Linked DNA regions of Arabidopsis thaliana. The protein of the gene in region 1 interacts with the protein of each later gene in a pairwise test. Each region holds a gene or a part of one and is shown in the gene's direction. Other genes may lie near its edges. The genes, in order: MYB74 and AT5G48430.

What was found.
Region 2: the proteins of MYB74 (region 1) and AT5G48430 interact in a two-hybrid assay, tested with the Arabidopsis thaliana proteins (one large-scale study listed by BioGRID).

Annotation. Positions count from the first base shown.
Region 1 is NC_003075.7:2,613,616-2,623,994, forward strand, and holds MYB74 (myb domain protein 74), read left to right. Parts: upstream 1-4,756; 5' UTR 4,757-4,941; coding exon 4,942-5,077; intron 5,078-5,169; coding exon 5,170-5,299; intron 5,300-5,466; coding exon 5,467-6,175; 3' UTR 6,176-6,332; downstream 6,333-10,379. Other genes in the region: AT4G05095 (non-LTR retrolelement reverse transcriptase), read right to left, coding at 183-599; AT4G05097 (uncharacterized protein), read left to right, coding at 400-609, 701-780, 807-948. UniProt on the Arabidopsis thaliana protein: Probable transcription factor that may function in salt stress response.
Region 2 is NC_003076.8:19,623,435-19,633,668, reverse strand, and holds AT5G48430 (Eukaryotic aspartyl protease family protein), read left to right. Parts: upstream 1-4,501; 5' UTR 4,502-4,556; coding exon 4,557-5,777; 3' UTR 5,778-6,035; downstream 6,036-10,234. Other genes in the region: sks3 (SKU5 similar 3), read left to right, coding at 13-91, 168-370, 444-538, 757-878; AT5G48440 (FAD-dependent oxidoreductase family protein), read left to right, coding at 1,081-1,339, 1,478-1,627, 1,909-2,123, 2,212-2,282, 2,527-2,692, 2,926-3,097, 3,216-3,374, 3,471-3,559 and 1 more; AT5G48420 (uncharacterized protein), read left to right, coding at 6,879-7,307.

The DNA of each region.
Region 1 (10,379 bases):
ATTTCCATTAGATAAAAAAGAACTTACAAGACACAAAATTCCAAACTAGGCACGCAGGCCAAAAAACATACACGGCCCAAAGGCCCAAAAAGGCACGCAGGTCCGAAAACTAACCCTGAGGCCCAAGAAGGAATAAGAGGGCCCAACAGAACATAAGAAACGCAAAGGAGGAAAAATTTACCTTAGTTGAAGTAGCGAAACCAAGTAGAAAGGAGAGAGTTGTCGGGGGCATCAAATTCAGAACGCCTAGAGAGAGGATCCAGCTTAGCTGTAAGGATGACCTTGATTTCCTTGATGATTGCAGTAGAAGAGCGGGAAGCGTGATCATGCAATCTACGGTTACGCTCTTTCCAAAGGAAGTAGATAGAAGCTTGAAACACTAGCTTGATGATGAGAGAAATGTTAGGATCACGAGAAGGAGATAAGACCCAAGTGAGGCAGTCCATAAAGAGAAGCGGAGGAGTTAAGCTTGCTCTAAACATGAAGTTACCCCAAACCGCAAAACTGACACCACATCCAAAGAACAAGTGCTCTCTAAATTCAGCATTTCCAGAGCAAAGGACACAATCCGAAGGAATAGAGAGACCCCACCTCCTCATGCAGTCTCTAGTATGAAGCCGATTCTAAGCAGTAACCCAAGTAATGAATGCGTGCTTTGGAATATGGTCCTTAAACCAAACCGACTTATGCCACACAACAGGACGGCCAGAAGGGTGAAGCGCTTGCCAAGTCAGAGCAGAGGAGAAAGAGTGAGAAGGAGGTCTTTGATCGACTTCATAGGTAATGATATCATTGCAACTAGGCAGGGCGTGCTTTGATCAAGGAGATGATGGGATTACGACTTCTAGAACCCATAACCCTCCACCTATCACCAGAAATTGCGTCTCTTACCACCGCCTTTTTTGGCAGACCTATCACCTGAAGACCCAAAGGACTCGTGAGATTTAAAAGAGAACCCAAACCAGTCTAATTATCGTACCAGAAACTAGCCGTAATAGCCAAACCCACTTCACACACCAAAAAAAGTCTCGCCAGACTACGAAGCTTACTCAACCGCTTCCAAATCCAACTCCCAGAGTTGTACGGATTCAAATCCAACTACCAGAGCTAAATTCTATTTCGTTATTTTAATATCATTAACACACCTCTATTATGAAACCTCCAAGAATAGAAACCACTAAGTTTAATAATTCAAATATTCTATATAGATATAGCTACTTTACTATGTGGCACATCAACTCCACAACTATTAATTCCGATATCGTATCGCACTCGCATATGTATTGTAATTTTCTATACATAAATAAATGTTATATACATAATTACGTATGTGTGTGTGGACTCTTGGTCTTTGTCTTTCAACTATTTAGAATTCAAATGGCTCGTTTCTGACGTATCAAAATCTGGAATAATGCGACGATAATCTCTACGTACGTGACTCGATTTATTTTAACATACATACTAATCAATCATATTTTATATTAAGAAAAATTAGGCAAGTATCGTGTATATATATATATATAGTATGTGGCTACATACTATTATTGCCCACATACAGTAAAACCTCTATAAATTAATACTCGATAAATTAATAACCTCTATAAATTAATAAATTCTTCCGGTCCCGAGTTGGGACCACTATAAAAATTGATACAAATCGATAAATTAATAAGATAATAATTATTTTGAAAATTTTATGTAAATATATGGTCCCATCAATATTATAAATTAATAATTGTATAAATTTATGAATATATATATATATATATATATTTATATTTATGAATATATATTATGTAAAACTTAGTAAAATATGACTTTAGTATTGTTTTTCTTCAATTTATATTAATTCTTTGTAAAATTCAATTCTAATAATTTTACTACGTATAAAAAAGATTTTTTTTTTAAACCTAATAATGGTTTTATACTTGTAATTGATTTTTAGAAAAATTATTGATTGTAGAGAGGAACTACCTTTTGGATTAAATTTTTGTAAAAAATTACAAATTTTTTAAAATCTCTCCATAAATTAATAATTATTAATTTATCGATAAATTAATACCTCTCTAAATTAATAAATTTTTGTACTATTATTACCTAGAAAGTGAAAATTGACCTACAAATATATCTTCAATTTGATTCACATATACGAAGTCACGTATGTTTCTATAAATTTAGATCCAAAATGTGTGAAAACCCATCTGTTTTTGCAAATTCTTGCAATTGCAATTGCACATGTTTCTATTACGTTTAAATCAATCGAGCTCTAAGTGATTTATCCATAGTGATATACAGATCCAATATCCATGAAACATATTTAATTCATGAAAAGGCTCAAACATTATCAACAAATAAGATATGGTCAACTATGTAGTAACTAGTAACACGTAGGCTGCTGCTCTTTGTGGCAAATTCATGCGCAAGCAAAGCCTCTAGATGTTTGACAAGTTACTACCCTAATATAGCATCACTAGCTATCTTCTAATTTTTTTTTTTAGTTATTTTAATCCTGTATTCTTTTATTTATTTATTTGATAAAGTGATGAAATTTTATTCTCCTTTTTCTTATCAACTAATATACTTATTCATTCACATAATTTCGCACTTTGCGGAGTTTTCATTTGTCGTTAAACCCGACAGATTCTTGAACCGCAAGGAACGAGACATTAACCTAATGTACTTATATTTAACTATAGTATTATAATAGCATAAATGTGACAATGATTCGATCACTACTAATATATTAATCACCAATCTATATCGTCGTCCTTCCTGATTATTTGAAGATTTTGTCTATAAACTAGCTGCTTTTGTTTATGTATTTTTATTACTTGGATGCTTTTGTTTGTTGGAATATTCGAATGAATTTTTGTTTGCCTGAAACTATGCATATATAATAAGGCCATATGCGCCAATAATATAGAATCCAAATATTCATTAACTATAATTAGTTTGTTCTAGAGTTTTAGCTACTCATATATTCAAATTCTTAGGAGATCAAAAAAGTACTTAATTAGTTAATAAAATCCATTTTTATTAGTTGTAATTAAATGTAAAGTGTCGAAACACGAAAGGGAAGATGAGTTGCACAACTCGTGGTTCCTATAAGAGTGATAATCTATCTGACGTCACGCCATGCAAAATGTATCAATCAATTTTCTTCTCACATTTATATTTACTTCAAAATGATTATAAAGCCACCCAATGAATAATAAGATATATATATATATATATATAACTCAAAATCAAAAATTTCAAATGGAATTTGGAAGCATCACAAATTCACAATCATGTATTCAAAATCTCACGTAGAAAAAGCTAATAAGTCCAAAAGATTGGTCTTCATTTTTTTCTTGAGAAAGTTTGATGGGATAGAGAGAGAGACAGAGAGGAACAGCTAAATTTGCTGTGTATGTATTTAATACTTGAACATTTATTTATCTATTTTCTTATACATCAAACTCACGAATTTATAGGTTGGTAATGTCGTTTTTATAACATTAATAAAAATTGCAATTGTAGTTTTTATTGAAATTTACCCAAAAAAAACTATTATACGAAAATATGTTATTTATTTAAAATTTGATATTAGATGAATCCAGAATCTTTTATAAAACTTGGTGTGTGTGAACCTGCGTTAATTTGTTAAATACTTTTCACGTAAAAATCAAAATTAATTTTAAAAGTTATGTTACCAAACAGTATTCTGATAGTTTTACAAATTTTATCCATTGTATATGTTTTGTTTTTGCAAAAAAGTCCAAAGGAAAAAACAAAGCAGAAGGGTTGAATTGTGAGGAAAGAGAGAGTACGTGGCATCATAACTTTGGCGACAGCTAATGTGAAAACAGCCAAAAGCTACGGAGAGCGACACTCCTCGACGACGTCCATGTCTCTTTAGATTGTGATTGCATTGTTAATTATCATATTTATCAATTGATTAGTTAAGTCTTAAGTATCATCACACAAGTTTATACATTAATCTATACAGTGTTTAACACTACAAAACTCCCCAAAATCACGTGTTTCATATCATACGTACATTTGTCTACCGTCTTTATTAACAATATTAAAACAGAATTTATCAATTTTCTAGTTGAATAGACTATATACTATTATAGAGACTCTTATAAATTATGAAACTCCTAATCAATTAAAAATAGTTAATTTGAAACATATCACTCGAAACTAGGGTATTAGTTGGATTGACGATATTTTTCTTATTAATATCAACGAGAAGAATCAAGTGTCGTTAGCTCAATTGGTAAAAAATTTAGGCAAAGCTTAGAGATGTCTATTTGAGTGACGCTTGGAACAAAAATTACATGCTATGGTTTCAGGCCTAGAGAAATGCTTCGATCCAGAATCTCTTGATATTCAAAAAAAAAAAAAAAATCAACAAGAAGAATGTATAAATGGTTTCTATACTATCTAAGTTATGAAAAATATTTTTGGTTACCCAAATTACAAGATTTGTACCGAAGTGTCACACTAGATTCACATGCATGCATAGTTATAATTAACTTAAAACATAAATGACTTACAAAAATACTTACAAACAAAAACCAAATTAAGTTATTTAGTGGCCAGCTTTGTTACTAGAGTTTTAGCCATTATCATAATTCACAATAAGGTGTAGGAAAAAACATTAATATATAGTATGTATACATCCAAAAAAAACTTTTTGGAAAAAACAAATTTTGGGATTATAAAGGACACGTAGCCCAATCGATGAACAGAGGACGGCACCGAATCAATTTGACTTCACCTTTTTTCCCCATATGATAAGAGTCTCATCTCTTTCCTATATATATTTCGTACCTCTCTTTAAGGACCCTACGTCTCTCTCTTTCTCTCTACTCTCTGTTTCCTCATAATTCAATCACTATATTTTTTTAAAAACATTTGACTTCATCGATCGGTTAACAATTAATCAAAAAGATGGGACGATCACCATGTTGTGAGAAGAAGAATGGTCTCAAGAAAGGACCATGGACTCCTGAGGAGGATCAAAAGCTCATTGATTATATCAATATACATGGTTATGGAAATTGGAGAACTCTTCCCAAGAATGCTGGTTAGTATACGTATCTTCATTATTACATTTTAATCATACTTTTTTTATTCGTGAATTGTCTTTTTAAAGTTTTGCTTGAATCTTGACTATAGGGTTACAAAGATGTGGTAAGAGTTGTCGTCTCCGGTGGACCAACTATCTCCGACCAGATATTAAGCGTGGAAGATTCTCTTTTGAAGAAGAAGAAACCATTATTCAACTTCACAGCATCATGGGAAACAAGTGAGTTTGAACTTTTCAATAATTTTATATTTTTGCCATTACGTAGTTTATACGAAAACTACTAATCTTGTAGATTAGTCTTAGAGTCATAGCTTTGAATGATGTTACTAGTGATTTATGTTAAATCTACAATGCATCAGATTCTAACTTTGTTTGCTTTCGTATAGGTGGTCTGCGATTGCGGCTCGTTTGCCTGGAAGAACAGACAACGAGATCAAAAACTATTGGAACACTCACATCAGAAAAAGACTTCTAAAGATGGGAATCGACCCGGTTACACACACTCCACGTCTTGATCTTCTCGATATCTCCTCCATTCTCAGCTCATCTATCTACAACTCTTCGCATCATCATCATCATCATCATCAACAACATATGAACATGTCGAGGCTCATGATGAGTGATGGTAATCATCAACCATTGGTTAACCCCGAGATACTCAAACTCGCAACCTCTCTCTTTTCAAACCAAAACCACCCCAACAACACACACGAGAACAACACGGTTAACCAAACCGAAGTAAACCAATACCAAACCGGTTACAACATGCCTGGTAATGAAGAATTACAATCTTGGTTCCCTATCATGGATCAATTCACGAATTTCCAAGACCTCATGCCAATGAAGACGACGGTCCAAAATTCATTGTCATACGATGATGATTGTTCGAAGTCCAATTTTGTATTAGAACCTTATTACTCCGACTTTGCTTCAGTCTTGACCACACCTTCTTCAAGCCCGACTCCGTTAAACTCAAGTTCCTCAACTTACATCAATAGTAGCACTTGCAGCACCGAGGATGAAAAAGAGAGTTATTACAGTGATAATATCACTAATTATTCGTTTGATGTTAATGGTTTTCTCCAATTCCAATAAACAAAACGCCATTGGAATAGAGTTATGTAAACATGCAATCATTGTATTTGTTATATAGATTTTGTTACATATCCAAAATCCAAAATACTATAGTTTTAAAATATTTATTACTAAAGTATATTCGTCAAGGGGAAAGCAACATCCCACCAGTAAACAATATAAAGCTCAGCTCATAACATTGTTTTAATGATGGAGTTTCTATTATTGGTATCTATCTACTCTTTTGTTTAATATTTGTGGTCGGCTTTTCTTCTACATAAATGCATGGAGATCGTATCAACGATCATATTAAAATATGATTCGAAGATATATACTATAATTGATATCATACATGGTGCTGAAATGTTATCGAAATAGAAAGGTAGATAAATAATTGATAGTGAATAATTATATCATTGACTTATTATCTCTTGTTTCTCTGAAGAAATAAACTAATGATAATTTATGAACCAAAACAATACTAATAACAAATGTTTTGAAATGGAAGTGGGCCATTAAGTCAATCAAAAATTTGCACAATTTCACTAGAACCAATCAAAATGCACGAAAAACTTTCTATTTTGACCACCAGAGAAGTCTTACGAATTTACTAACCGGAATCCGGCGAGACTGGCCGGAGCGTGAACTAGAAGTACACGTGGTATGGTAGCGTACGTGTGCAATTGGGGTCAGATCACGGGACACAATCTAATGACCAGACGCCACTTGTACGACACGAAAGCAATAAGTGGAAAACGTAAGGAAAAAGTTGAAAGAAAAAGCTCGTTTTAATTGAAATCACGGTTTGTGTTAATTAATCACCTTTAACACGTGTTGTACGGAGAGCCAACTGAGAGTGGGGACGCGTGGGGACAAAGCAGCATGTGTAAACACGAACGTCGGCATTTTTTGGGATGAGCTGTTTGTTTTGACCCCTTGTTCGGTTTTTCCAGTGGATCTTTTATTACGTATAGAGTCAACATTTTTTATAAGAATAAATTATTGTGGTAATTAAATAAACCTTGTTTTTTTCATTAAATAAAAACTTGTTTAGTAAGAGAAATTTCATATTATTTTCTTTGGTTTTAATGCTAAGAGTCTTAACGAAATTAAACAATTACATATCTTGCCAATTTTGAATGCTTAATTTGCAACTAGAATAAATTGTATATATCTAGTTTTACTTTTTTTTTTCTTTACTTTTTTTTGGTAAAATATATAGTTTTATTTTTGAATTGACGGAAACGTAAGTGGGTTAGTTGAGTTGTTTCTTTTTTATATATACGTAATTAGATATAAACGTGCGGTATACCGTAGATACTCTTATATTTTAGTTAAACTAAAATTTTTTATTGTAAAAGTGATTTATAAATATATAATATTATTTTATGGATTTTAAATGTATAGTAAACTGCTAGTTGTATATTTTTGTTGATATTATTTATATTGTTCAGTATTTAAGATTATACACTTGTATTTAATTGTTAATTTTAGAGTTTCACCTATAATTACCATCTTGTATTAATATTGATTTAAACCCGTCAATTCTAAGATTTTCAAGCTTGTATTAAAAATTGAATCACATCATACACATAAAAAAATCTAATATGTTATTAATTATTATAGTATATAAGATTATAAATTTTCAAAATAATATGTATGAAATTGAATATAAATATTTAAATTATAACCCGTTACTTAGTAGAAAGTTTTCTAAAATCTATTTTTGACCTGTTATAATATTTTTTCATGTATTGAACAGTTTATATTCGTTTTTAAAAATATAAATCATGGCACATGCGAAAAGCTAATTATTCTTTTATAACAATAATATTATTTTTTCGCAAAAATAGAATCATATAAAGATGAGAGATGAACTATAATAATTAATAAAAAATTAATATGATAATTTAGATATCAAATCTAATTTGTTGATTTTAATTAGTTATTTTTTTTGGAAATTAATAATGTATTTCGTTTGTCTAATTAAATTAAATTAATTAAAATTTGGATATCAAATCTTATATGTTGATTTTGATTGGTTACTTTTTTAGAAATTAAAAATGTATTTTGTTTTTTAATTAAATTTAATTAATTAAATTAGTATTTGACTTTTTAATATTTAAAAAGATGAATTATTTTACTCTTTGAAATTTTATTTTTAATTGCATACCTATGTAATTACTTACAAAAAATATGGTTATTTTATTATGTATTTCCCAATAATAGTATAGGATTATGTTAGCATATATTTACAATGTTACCACATTTGATTTTATTTTTAATATCTTTTGTTAGCAATTTTTACTGAATGTTGAAACTTGTCAAATGTCACTATTCATCACGATTTTCAGTTTGAGCGAGATTTTTATCGATTTTTTTGGAAACTTTAAAACACTGTCGTCATAGTATACTTTTTTCTAAACATCAAATTTCCAGGACTATAATAAGAGACTATAATAAAAGCTTATAACAATAAATTATTAGCAAGTTTTAACAAGAAAAATTAAAATCTTTCATATGTTTTAGGCACCCTTAAAAATAATTTCCTTAATTGTTATTGGCCAACTTTTAATATTATACAGTATAACCTCTATAAATTAATACTCTATAAATTAATAACTTCTATAAATTAATAAATTTTTCCGGTCTTAAGTTGGAACCAGTGTAAAAAGTGACACAAACGATAAATTAATATGATAATAATTGTTTTGAAAGTTTTATGTAAATATATGGTCCCATCAATATCGTAAATTAATAATTGTATAAATGTATCAACTACATATATATTATATGTAAAACATAAAACATTTCCTTATAATATATTTTTAATATTTTTTTGCTTAAATTCATATTTGTTCTTTGTTTGAATATAATTATCATAGTTTACTGTATCAAAACTGTTGGTGTTGTTTGTAGACATTATTATTATATTTTCAATAATGAAAGAAATTTTATAGAAATTTTTAAAAAGTTACCAAAATTTTGAAAATCTTTTTATAAATTAATAAATATTAATTTATCGATAAATTAATACCTTTCTAAATTAATAAAATTTTGTAGTCCCAATATTATTAATTTATAGAGATTTTACTGTATATATAAACTCTAAAGTTTTAAATCTAAAGTCTAACTTCGACACCATAAATAGTTGGCTTAAACTACACCACAACTTGTTTCGTGGCAAGTCTATTACCGAAAAAAAGAACTGGCCACATTATAGGCACAAGAACATTTTTCTACATAACACAAATCCAGTTTTAACCATTAGAAAGAAAAAGAAAAACATATGAAACACAAAATAAAGCAAAAATATGATAAGAAAGTGATTATCATATTTTTCTAATAATAGACAGATTGTTTCAAAAAGAAAAATATACTTAAAAAGTAGAGAAACTAAAAACTGAGAAATAATTGACAAAAAGATTGAGAAATAAAAAGAATAAATGTAAATTTATTTATTTGATTTTTATTTTGATTTAAATTAAATGAGGTTTTTATTTGTTACATTAACTGTTTAAATTTTATAATTAAAAGGTAATTTTTCGAAAATTCACAGATTAACAAGTAAATTTAATTTAGACAATCACCTCATACCAACTTCATTTTTGTTTAGGTTGTTTTTTGTCATTTCAGTTGGTTGATCAAATATTTTCTTAATTGGCAATATTCTCTGTCAATCAAACCTACAAAGTCTCTAAGACATGTAAGTACTTTGGGCGGTGGCATATGAATCAGTTGGACTAAAAAGGCAAATCTTGTTTTACATGATCCCAAAAGTTGTTTTCATTATTCCATACAAAAAACACGTTTTGTCCTCGATATACACTTGTGTTGTGTATTTGTATGACCAAGATTTTCAATATCAGAGTTTTCTTATACATCACCGTGCCAAACTCTAATTCAAACACCAAGATTTCGTCGTTTATATACGGCTGTATTTTTCCATTTCATTTATTGTTTGTTACACTATAATATCTACGTACTAAAGATTTTATAGTAGGAATGGATCAAGTTTACTATACTAAATGACTTTGAGTAATTTATATAGATAGTTATCTTTTGAATTTCTTGTGTAGGAGAAATGTTAATGATCTTAATCGACCAAGAGACTAATCAATTTAATGTCGCCAAAACCGAAAGTAGACTTTATACAATGTTTGATAATTTAGTAATGTGGAAATAAGCTTCTATAATCACATGGGTTATATAAATGTGGTCCTAA
Region 2 (10,234 bases), on another chromosome or scaffold:
TTTGTCTTGAAGGATGGACTTTGGTCTGTGGACAGAAAATAGCAGAAGCACATACAACAAGGGTGATGCAGTTGCTCGATCTACTACGCAGGTTTTATGACTTAACACCTGAAACCGAAATGTTACATGTGTTTCTATGTGGTTTTAAACGGCTAATTTGTTTACAGGTGTTTCCTGGTGCATGGACGGCCGTCTTGGTTTCTTTGGACAATGCTGGCATGTGGAACCTTCGAATAGACAATCTAGCCTCATGGTATCTTGGCCAAGAACTATACTTGAGTGTGGTTAATCCAGAGATTGACATTGACTCATCTGAGAATTCCGTTCCTAAAAACTCTATATATTGTGGTCGGCTCTCACCATTACAAAAGTAAGTCTAGAAAAGGAATTAGCTTTTAGGTTGGCTTTCTCAGTCACTGACCTGTGTCTTGTTATTTTTGCAGAGATCAAGCACAGAGGGTAAACTTCTCCGGATCACAGCGATCCATCTTTGTAACAAGCAGAGGGATTCTCCTCGCTCTTTTTGCAATCTTAGTAAGTAGTTTAGCAAGATAACGATTCTGAGCTTTTCGGGCCTGATTGTAGCAAAACTGCAATGCCACTCCCATCATTTCAGAAGATCATAGTGTTGGTATAACACAGTAGAAGCTTGAAGATCACAGATGAGGTGTTTGTTGTTTATGCGTAGTGTTTAATCTACCATCAATATAATGTTATGCTGTAAGGCTTGATTTTGTAATAGAACTTGGTGAGAAGACATCAATCGTCTTTGTAATACTAAGAAGATTCTTGATTCTACTGCCAAGGCACAGACAGACCTGAGTCTTGTAGAAACGGATCGGATATCCGAAAAAAACCGGGATCGGATATCATATTAGATTCATGTCTGAGGAACTTGGATTCATGTTCCTACTTGGATGATTAACTCCATATTACAAGAAGATGATTAGTAGGTGGAAATGTGAAGAAGCACTGAGATAGTAATTGGCACATAATAAAACTGAAGTGTAATACTTTGCTAATTCTTACGTTGACTTTTGAAAGTTCAAACCTTTACGATACCAAAAACCTTCTTCTCCAATGGTTTCCATTTTCCTTCAATCACCCACCTTTTTAACACCACTGAGCTACCCATTTTCATCTCGGAGCTCCACCAAGAGAACCCAACATGGAGCTTCTCTGTCACTACGTGTCACAGCTTCTCGTAGCTCCTTCGATGTTGTTGTTGTAGGTGGTGGGATCATTGGGTTAACCATAGCCCGCCAATTCCTTACCGGGTCGGATCTATCTGTTGCTGTTGTCGATAAAGCCGTACCTTGCTCCGGCGCCACCGGTGCCGGTAATTCTCAACCCTTCTCTTACAAATTGGATCTGACGATTGACATTAGTACATTACCTATGGATTCTGCAAATAAAGCTGGACTCTTGAAGTGAATGAAGTTGACTTAACTTGAAATTTGTGGTTTTTGGATTTCAGGGCAGGGATATATATGGATGACACACAAGAAACCAGGCAGTGATGTGTGGGACTTGACCTTGAGGAGCCATGAACTCTGGCACAAGCTTGCAGAGAGCTTGACTGATGATGGTCTTGATCCTGAAGAGTTGCTTGGCTGGAAAAAGACAGGTTTTTACTGACTACCCACTTTACGTTTGTATAGAATTTGGAGCTCTTTGAGCGACTTTGTTGATCATGATCTTGTGTTGATTCTTTCTTCACTTTAGTCTATTGGGTTCTATACACTATTAGTTAGGTTCTTTTGGCAATGTCATTTTCGTCGTGTTCAACAAAAATAATAGTTCAGTGTATTGTTGTCAACGAAAATAGATGATATATACACCATTAGTTACGTTCTGTTTGTCAACGAAAATAGATGATATAGTTCAGTGTATTGTTGTCACTTGTAGGAAGCTTGCTCATTGGTAGGACCACTGAGGAATGTGTTGCTCTGAAGCAAAAGGTTCATGAGCTATCTGAAGCTGGGTTAAGAACTGAATATTTGTCTAGTGCTGAGTTGTTGTTAAAGGAGCCTGCGATACTTGTAAATGATAATACTGGTGCTGCATTTCTTCCTGATGATTCACAGTTGGACGCCCATCGTGCGGTTGCTTATATCGAGAAGGTTGCTTTTTATGTATTTATTTGATAGTTGAATGTCTCATCTGACACTTTTCTTTTGTGGTTTACTTAGTTTTATTTGAGTTACTCAGGGTAATAGAGCGTTTGCAACAGCAGGCAGATATGCCGAGTTCTATAATGAACCAGTTACAGGTTTAATAAGGTTGGTAATCTTTGTAGCTGAATCAGAACTTTTCTGAACCAAAAATTAAAAATGCATTCTCCAATCTAGGCATCGATATAACATACATATCTGTATACTAAAAACCATGGCTGTGTCCTAATTTTGTTACCTTAAATTAAGAGGCTGAAACACAAAAACAAATTCATCCAAATCTATGTAAATCTTCAGTGGACGCTACTAATCTTTCTTCTACTAGAGTTTTATTAATAGTATTTCTATTCAGGTCTGATGGGGATAGCAAGGTGGTTGCTGGCGTTAAGACTTTGAAACGCAACTTGTATGGTAAGAAGGCTACTATAGTAGCTGCTGGTTGCTGGAGTGGATCTCTGATGCATGAATTGCTTAAAGACTGCAACATTCCGCTGGACGTTCCGGTGAAGCCAAGAAAGGTTTGAAGTCTCGTCTGATTGCCCAATTTATATTCCCTCGTTTTAAATCTCTATATTGAAGTGTATCTTTGTCATCACGAGGTGTCAAAATTCTGGCAAGCCAAGTTCTTGAGGATATTATTGTTTAAGAGCAGCAAGTATATCTTTATTTGTCGTGAAGATCCTTTGCAAGCTTCTTGAAATGGACTGCTTTGGTATTTTTTTAAATTGCAGTATCCAACTTTGCCTTGCAGGGGCATCTGCTTGTGGTAGAGAACTTTGATTCATTCCACTTAAATCATGGGATAATGGAGGCTGGTTACTCGAATCATCAAAGTGCTTCAGTTTCAGGATTGGATGTCGATGAACGGATGCTATCTATTTCCATGACAGCCACAATGGACACATCAGGAAACCTTGTTCTTGGTAATTTCATCAATCTATGTCCACTAAAATCCATGTTCTTCTTATTATGTGTGCTTAACATATTTATCAGTCACACACAATATATCTCTTATCTTCATTTAGCCATCTCTAATTTCAGGGAGCAGCCGTGAGTTTGTCGGGTTCGACACTGAAGCTGATGAGTTTATCATCCGTTGCATATGGGAGCGTGCTGCAGAATTCTTTCCTAAGTTACGTGATATTTCCCTCGAAGATTTCATCCGTAACAGGAAAGTGAGAGTCGGGTTGCGCCCTTACAGTAAGCTTCTTGCATCTAATGCTCCAAACCAAAAGTACTTGAAGCCGGCCTTTGGAATGTTCACAAAACCTGAACTTTTCTTTTAACTGATCATAGTGCCTGACGGGAAGCCAGTGATAGGATCCGTGCCCGGATTACAAAACATGTACTTAGCAGCTGGGCATGAAGGAGGTGGACTTTCCATGGTAAGTAACATTCATTCTAATCCTCTAACACCTTTCTCAAGAACCCAATCATGATTCACGGTTTCTTGAAATCGTTTAGGCTCTAGCAACAGCGGAAATGGTAACGGACATGGTACTAGGAAAACCATCACAAGTGGATACTTCAACGTTTGGGGTTAAAGGGCGTCGTTGTTGCTGATGAAATAGAAGCAGTTTGGTTTAGTTAAGAGAGTGAATCCTCTTAAGCATTGTGGTTGCTATAAACGGGGTCTTAAAGGAAATGTCTATGAGCTACATAAATCTAGTGTTGGTTTAGTCCGGTTTTAGTATACTAAGACCAATTCTAATTCTACGTCTTTAAACCAGACTTTTTCTCTAGCTTTCGACATGCATGATCTATTTTTAATACGGTTGATTACAAATATGTTCCATTCAAAATATTCTCAAACAATAATTTAACCATTTATACGCATATTAGCAAAGATATGTCATTCGAATTTGACCAAAAATGCGCACATGGTTATCATATCCTAGAAAACTTTCAAATCAGTGATTATCACATTCCATATTCAAACTATTGCTATTTATTTATTTCAATATATCTATATATATAATATTAATTGTCAACAAACATATAAAACCACAAGTAGTGATGCTAGTTGAAGTTTTTTCTTTTTCTTATTAACGTATAAGTCTTTTGAGTCTATGACCATCTACATCCATCAGTAGTTTTTAAATTTATCTATCAACTTGACATACATATAGGACTGGCTTTGCCTAAATGGTTGGCCCTCCTATGTCAACTTGATATACATATAGTAATCTTTTAAAATATATATATCTAGTTGTTCTGGTCGGACCGTATTATTGTGTGTACAAGTTCGTACATATTAACGTGTGTGATGTCTATATGTTAAAATGTCAACTCTAATTAGCTATATATACGTTCTTAATTCTCCTAGTAATTATATCCATATCTTAAAACTTTCCAACAATCTTAAACACAAACACGCAAAAGATGGAAAAGAGTCTTCTTGTCCTCTGTCTCATTTTGTTTTTTACTTATAGTTACGTCTCGGCTAATTACTATCCACCTAAAGCCTTAGTATCAACCGTCTCTAAGAACACAATCTTGCCTATCTTCACCTTCACACTCAACACAAACCAAGAGTTTTTCATTCACATCGGCGGTCCCTATCTTGTCCGTAAATGCAACGATGGTCTCCCTCGTCCCATCGTCCCTTGTGGCTCCCCCGTATGTGCTCTAACTCGTAGATTCACTCCTCACCAATGCTCTCTTCCCAGCAACAAAATCATCAATGGAGTATGTGCTTGCCAAGCAACCGCTTTTGAGCCATTCCAACGTATATGTAACTCTGACCAATTCACCTATGGAGATTTATCCATCTCTTCTCTAAAACCTATATCTCCTTCGGTCACGATCAACAACGTTTATTACCTATGCATCCCCCAACCGTTCCTTGTAGACTTCCCTCCCGGTGTTTTCGGCCTTGCGGGGCTTGCACCTACGGCTCTCGCCACTTGGAACCAGCTGACTCGACCTAGACTCGGACTCGAGAAGAAGTTTGCGTTGTGTCTTCCTTCTGATGAAAACCCTTTGAAAAAAGGTGCTATTTACTTTGGTGGAGGTCCGTACAAGCTCAGAAACATTGATGCAAGATCTATGCTCTCTTACACTCGATTGATTACAAACCCTAGAAAACTCAACAACTATTTCTTGGGACTCAAGGGTATTTCCGTTAACGGGAATAGGATCTTGTTTGCCCCAAACGCTTTTGCTTTTGACCGCAACGGTGATGGAGGCGTTACTCTAAGCACCATATTCCCTTTCACTATGTTACGAAGCGACATATACAGAGTCTTTATCGAAGCATTCTCACAAGCCACATCGGGTATTCCACGTGTCAGTAGCACGACACCCTTTGAGTTTTGTCTTTCGACGACGACAAATTTCCAAGTGCCTAGGATCGATCTAGAGCTAGCTAATGGTGTGATTTGGAAATTGTCTCCCGCAAACGCGATGAAGAAGGTCAGCGATGACGTGGCTTGCTTGGCTTTTGTCAACGGAGGAGATGCGGCGGCGCAGGCGGTGATGATAGGAATACATCAGATGGAAAATACTTTGGTGGAGTTTGACGTTGGAAGATCTGCTTTTGGATTTAGTTCTTCTTTGGGTTTGGTCAGCGCTTCATGCGGCGACTTTCAAACACGGCCATGAGAATGTCAAAACAACTTGATAGTTGACATTATCTTGTGATTGAATATTTATTTGTCAGTACTCTGGCTTCATTTGTTATGTAACATTCATGTCAAGTGTGGTTTTAAAAAATTTAGTCAATGACGAATGTCAAAGAATGTAATAAAACACTAAAGTTTTATCTTATTATTAATGAACCTTAATATATAAGTTGCGTCGACAAGTCATTTCACTTTATATAATATTAAAGATGTTACATAAGTTTGATAAACCATGTCAATTATTGCTGATGATTTTTTTCTTACTTCCTTTGTTACTATTAGTGATTTATTTGGTTATTTTTCGTCAAACCATGTCATTATATTAAAGGGGTTATATAAGTTTAAACTACTATGACTACTAAACGATATGTAGTTAGTGAAGTGACTTCTTGCAGATTTAGCAAATACCTCAGCTACTTGGTTAGCTCCTTTTTCACAAAACTACAAGTGGGATGAGCTAACTCTAGTACATCTCTAATTACAGTATGTTGGTATGGCAAGATATTTTCGAAAAACCACCAGATAAAATTACCTAATTAAAAATCAAGCATCTTAATATATAAGACTCTCATTCAAAGTGCTACGTATCTAATCTTAAAACTTAAATGGCTTATAAATGGATTTTTTTCAGTGGTGAAAAATCCCAAATTATGTTCAATCCAAGGATCGTTCATTTTTGCACTTTTTAAGTTTCTAATTGAGTACAACGATATATGTCAATGTCAGTGTAATAATACAAAAAAGTTGTAAACTAAAGTCGGAATTATTTGATTTTCTTGTGTTAAACCCATAAATCCGATTCTCCAATCCAAAGCATATGAAGAACAAACACTACATGAGAAGGTTTTGCTTTCTTTAAACTACATTCCGTTATGCGATTCTACCTACAAACTACATGACGTTTTTGTTCACGTAGTACAAACAGCACGCATGTCTAACAAGAAGATACAAAACGGCCAATATCTCTTCCTTGTCTATTTTTGCATGTTGTTGAACTCGAAACTATAAATTGTAACAAACTTCTTATTCTTCCTCTGTGAGTGAAAAATCAAAAATCACAAAAGAAGCAAGAAAACAAAAAATGGCGATTCTCGACCTCGAGACTTTCAAGTCACTCACTTCCCTCACCTTCAACTTCGAGACTCTCTCCGATACTGTCACTTCCACGAAAGATTCGTCGTACTCTGTTTCATCTCCGGTTACTTCTGGTGATCGCGTCGACGGAGGTTGTATTTGCTCGAGGATGGTCTCTCTTTGTGAAGATTCACGTTATTCTGTTAAAGATGGTATCAATCGCGATGGTTATGATACTGATGAAGAAGATGACTTTGACTACTATGATGATCTCGATGATGATCATGAGCTGGTAAAGATTCAGAGGATTAGGAAAACGGGAAAGAGAACATTCTGGAAAAACGTTACGTTGAAGAAGAAGAAGTATTCGTATTCGCAGTTGAAACCTGGGTGTGTTCATGGCAAGCATGGACTCGATATCAAATTCAGGTGCTGATTTGACTTAAAGATCGTTGTAAAAAGTTGTTTCTTGGCTCATTTCAGATTTGCGTTACTTTGGATAGTTTCTGTGTTGAAATTTGGATGTCTTTTGAGGATTTGATTTAGTTGTTCATGGATTGTTTAGTTTCTGGAATCTTGTAAATCGATATTTAGAGAAGAATCAATGAAGAAGAGTTAGTTTGATAAGAGTAGTTACGTACAACCATGAAGAATATTGAAGATTGTACATGATTTCAGTTGTTCTTGTATGGTTTAGTTTCTGCAATCTTTGTAAATCGATATTTACTTTTGTATAGTATGAACGATAATCTTTAGGTGTCATATGAATTTGTGACATCTTTGCAGAAGTTAATCAATGAAGCAGCATTTACGTTTCATTAATTTACACTCCTTAGTCCATGCGAATCTTGAAGATTTTAATCCCTTTCTTCAATATACCGAAAAACATTGACGAATGTTTTAATATATGTAATATTAATTGGTTTCAAGTGGGTTTGTTTATTTAATTAAGTTTTTGGTTAGTGAGGTTTTTTCCCTAGAATATATCATCAATTGGTTTAATACATGAAGCACTCTTTCTTCTAAATTCTCAATGTAGTTCATAATAAAAACCAGTTAAACTGAAAAAAATTAACGACTTCAAATAGACAACAGGGAAAAAAAATAAAAAAACAAGAATGCGATGAATACTATACTGCATGTATACTTTCAAAAAAGGTTGATGCACCTTCCAAACATAAATGGATAATATGCCCAAAAGATTCAGGCCCATTAAAAGCCCAATTAAAATTATAGCGCCGAAGATACCGCCCGAGTCCCGACTAATGCATCTCTTATCTTTCTAAAAAGCGCCAAACCCGTGGCAATATGTCATAGTATCTGATCCGTACTTGACCCGTTCAAATACCAACGGGCTATAGGATCCGGCTTCATACCCGGAATATATGGGCCTAAATGATAGAAAGCCAAACGTCTAATTGAAGGACTTTCATCATCAATAATTCAGTATTATGTTCATCAACTGAAGGACTTCCATCATTAGTATCTTCTTTTTGTTTTTTTATCCATCATCATCAGTATCTTCTGTTCTTCTTCAACAACAATTTCAGTGAGTTATGACACATTTAGTCTTAGATACGTGCCTCTTGATTTTGGTTATAATCTTCAGATTGGGAAATTACGGGATATACGAATTGAGTAATTTTTTTGGATATATAAGTTATTCGTTCGAAAGGTCAAAATCAAATGTTCTTCAAGGCATGTTCTCACATAATCTATTCAAAGATTCATTAGATGTTTCAAGTTTAATCCTAAGCCGTTCATTAAACCTAAATCCGAAAACAATTACCGTCCTTGGTGACTGTATCACATAAATCGTACACCAGATAAGATTTATTCTTCTGCAAAGATATAAACATATCAATTCAAATAACAAACTAACTCCTAAAAAACGATTTATGTAAAACTATTTGGTATCGAAAGAATCAAAGTATAGTAAACCAATCATGTGCCCATATAGGGATCACAGAGAATAATCCCGAGGACATGATTAAAATTGGAGTACAGATCAATTTAGCAAACGAAGAAATTGCACCAAAACATGGAATTAATGGTCTTGGGACAGAGTGCGTTTGCCCAAAACAACAACAACAAAATCTAATTTCAAAAGATTGTGCCAGTAGATTAAGGGCCTGGATAATCATGATTATAATCAGATCCAGGCGAGTGATACTGCCGATTTCTATTTCGCAAGTTATGATTTTCATAAAATTGATTGGATCGTGAATATCTTGACCCAATCAAAGAAGCTGAGACTTGCTTTAAAAAAAAAAAAACTACAGACCCAAAAAAACAACAAAGGAGTACTTTACGATTCGTTTAAGCTGCAAAATTTTGAAAGAGTAGCTAATTTAGAGACATGAGAGAAAGGCGTTGTAGAAGAAGAGAAAGAAGAGAGATTATATATAAGATTGGGAGAGAATAGAGATTAGGGTTTCTCTCTTCTCCTTTCTTCTCTTTGAAAAAGCTTATGGGCTCATTAATTTTATTAGCCCAGCCCAAACTGAAAGCCCACAACTGACCGGCATTTCGGATTTCTTACTAGGTTTGATTTTGATTTTGGAACTAATGTCAATAAACCGGATATTAGATTGATTCGGTTGGAAGGGGAAAAGATCAATTTCTCTCTCTTCTCTCTCTTCAATTATTCAGAGAGAGGAACACGATCTTTGTTTCTCCATCCGGTTTGTTTACTAGTTTTGTCTCTGGTATGGTTCAGCTTTGTCTCCGGCGAGGTCCGGCTTTGTTTCGGCTATCTGTTGCCGCTTTTTGTTTTTTCTGTTGAATAAATTATGCGATCTATGTTAGTGTTGTGGTTTTAGGTGATTCGTCTTTGCCTAAACACAATTCTCTCCAACATAAGATTGATGAATATGATGCTTGAGTTCGTGAACCGTTGACGTTTAATTGGGAAGATTTTGAAGTTGAATTTCCATGAAGTTGAAGATTTGTTTTTAGAGCTTTGGAATTGACAATTGCTATCACCGGATTCAACATGCATATCGCGGCGTTCTGGGTTTCAATGGAGTCGACAATCTTCTTCGGCGGCGACCAGTGATTCTCCGATCTTCTTCTTCTCACGTGTCTTCAGCACCTAACCTTTTCATGACACGTGTTTTAGGTTCTGTTTCAATGATTCTTCTTTCTTCCTGATGCGGTTTCCTACTTGGGCTTCATAGTTGGGCTTGAAAAGTCTTACACTTATGTTTAGTTGAATTTGGCTCTGTTGTTTGTCTCAAACTTTGGCTTATGTTGATATAACAAAATGGACACTCTTGTGACAAAAAAAAAAAAATTGATTCGGTTGGTTCCACCTTAATTGTTTTTTTTTTTTTTTTTGAGAACCATACCATTTGAAAGACA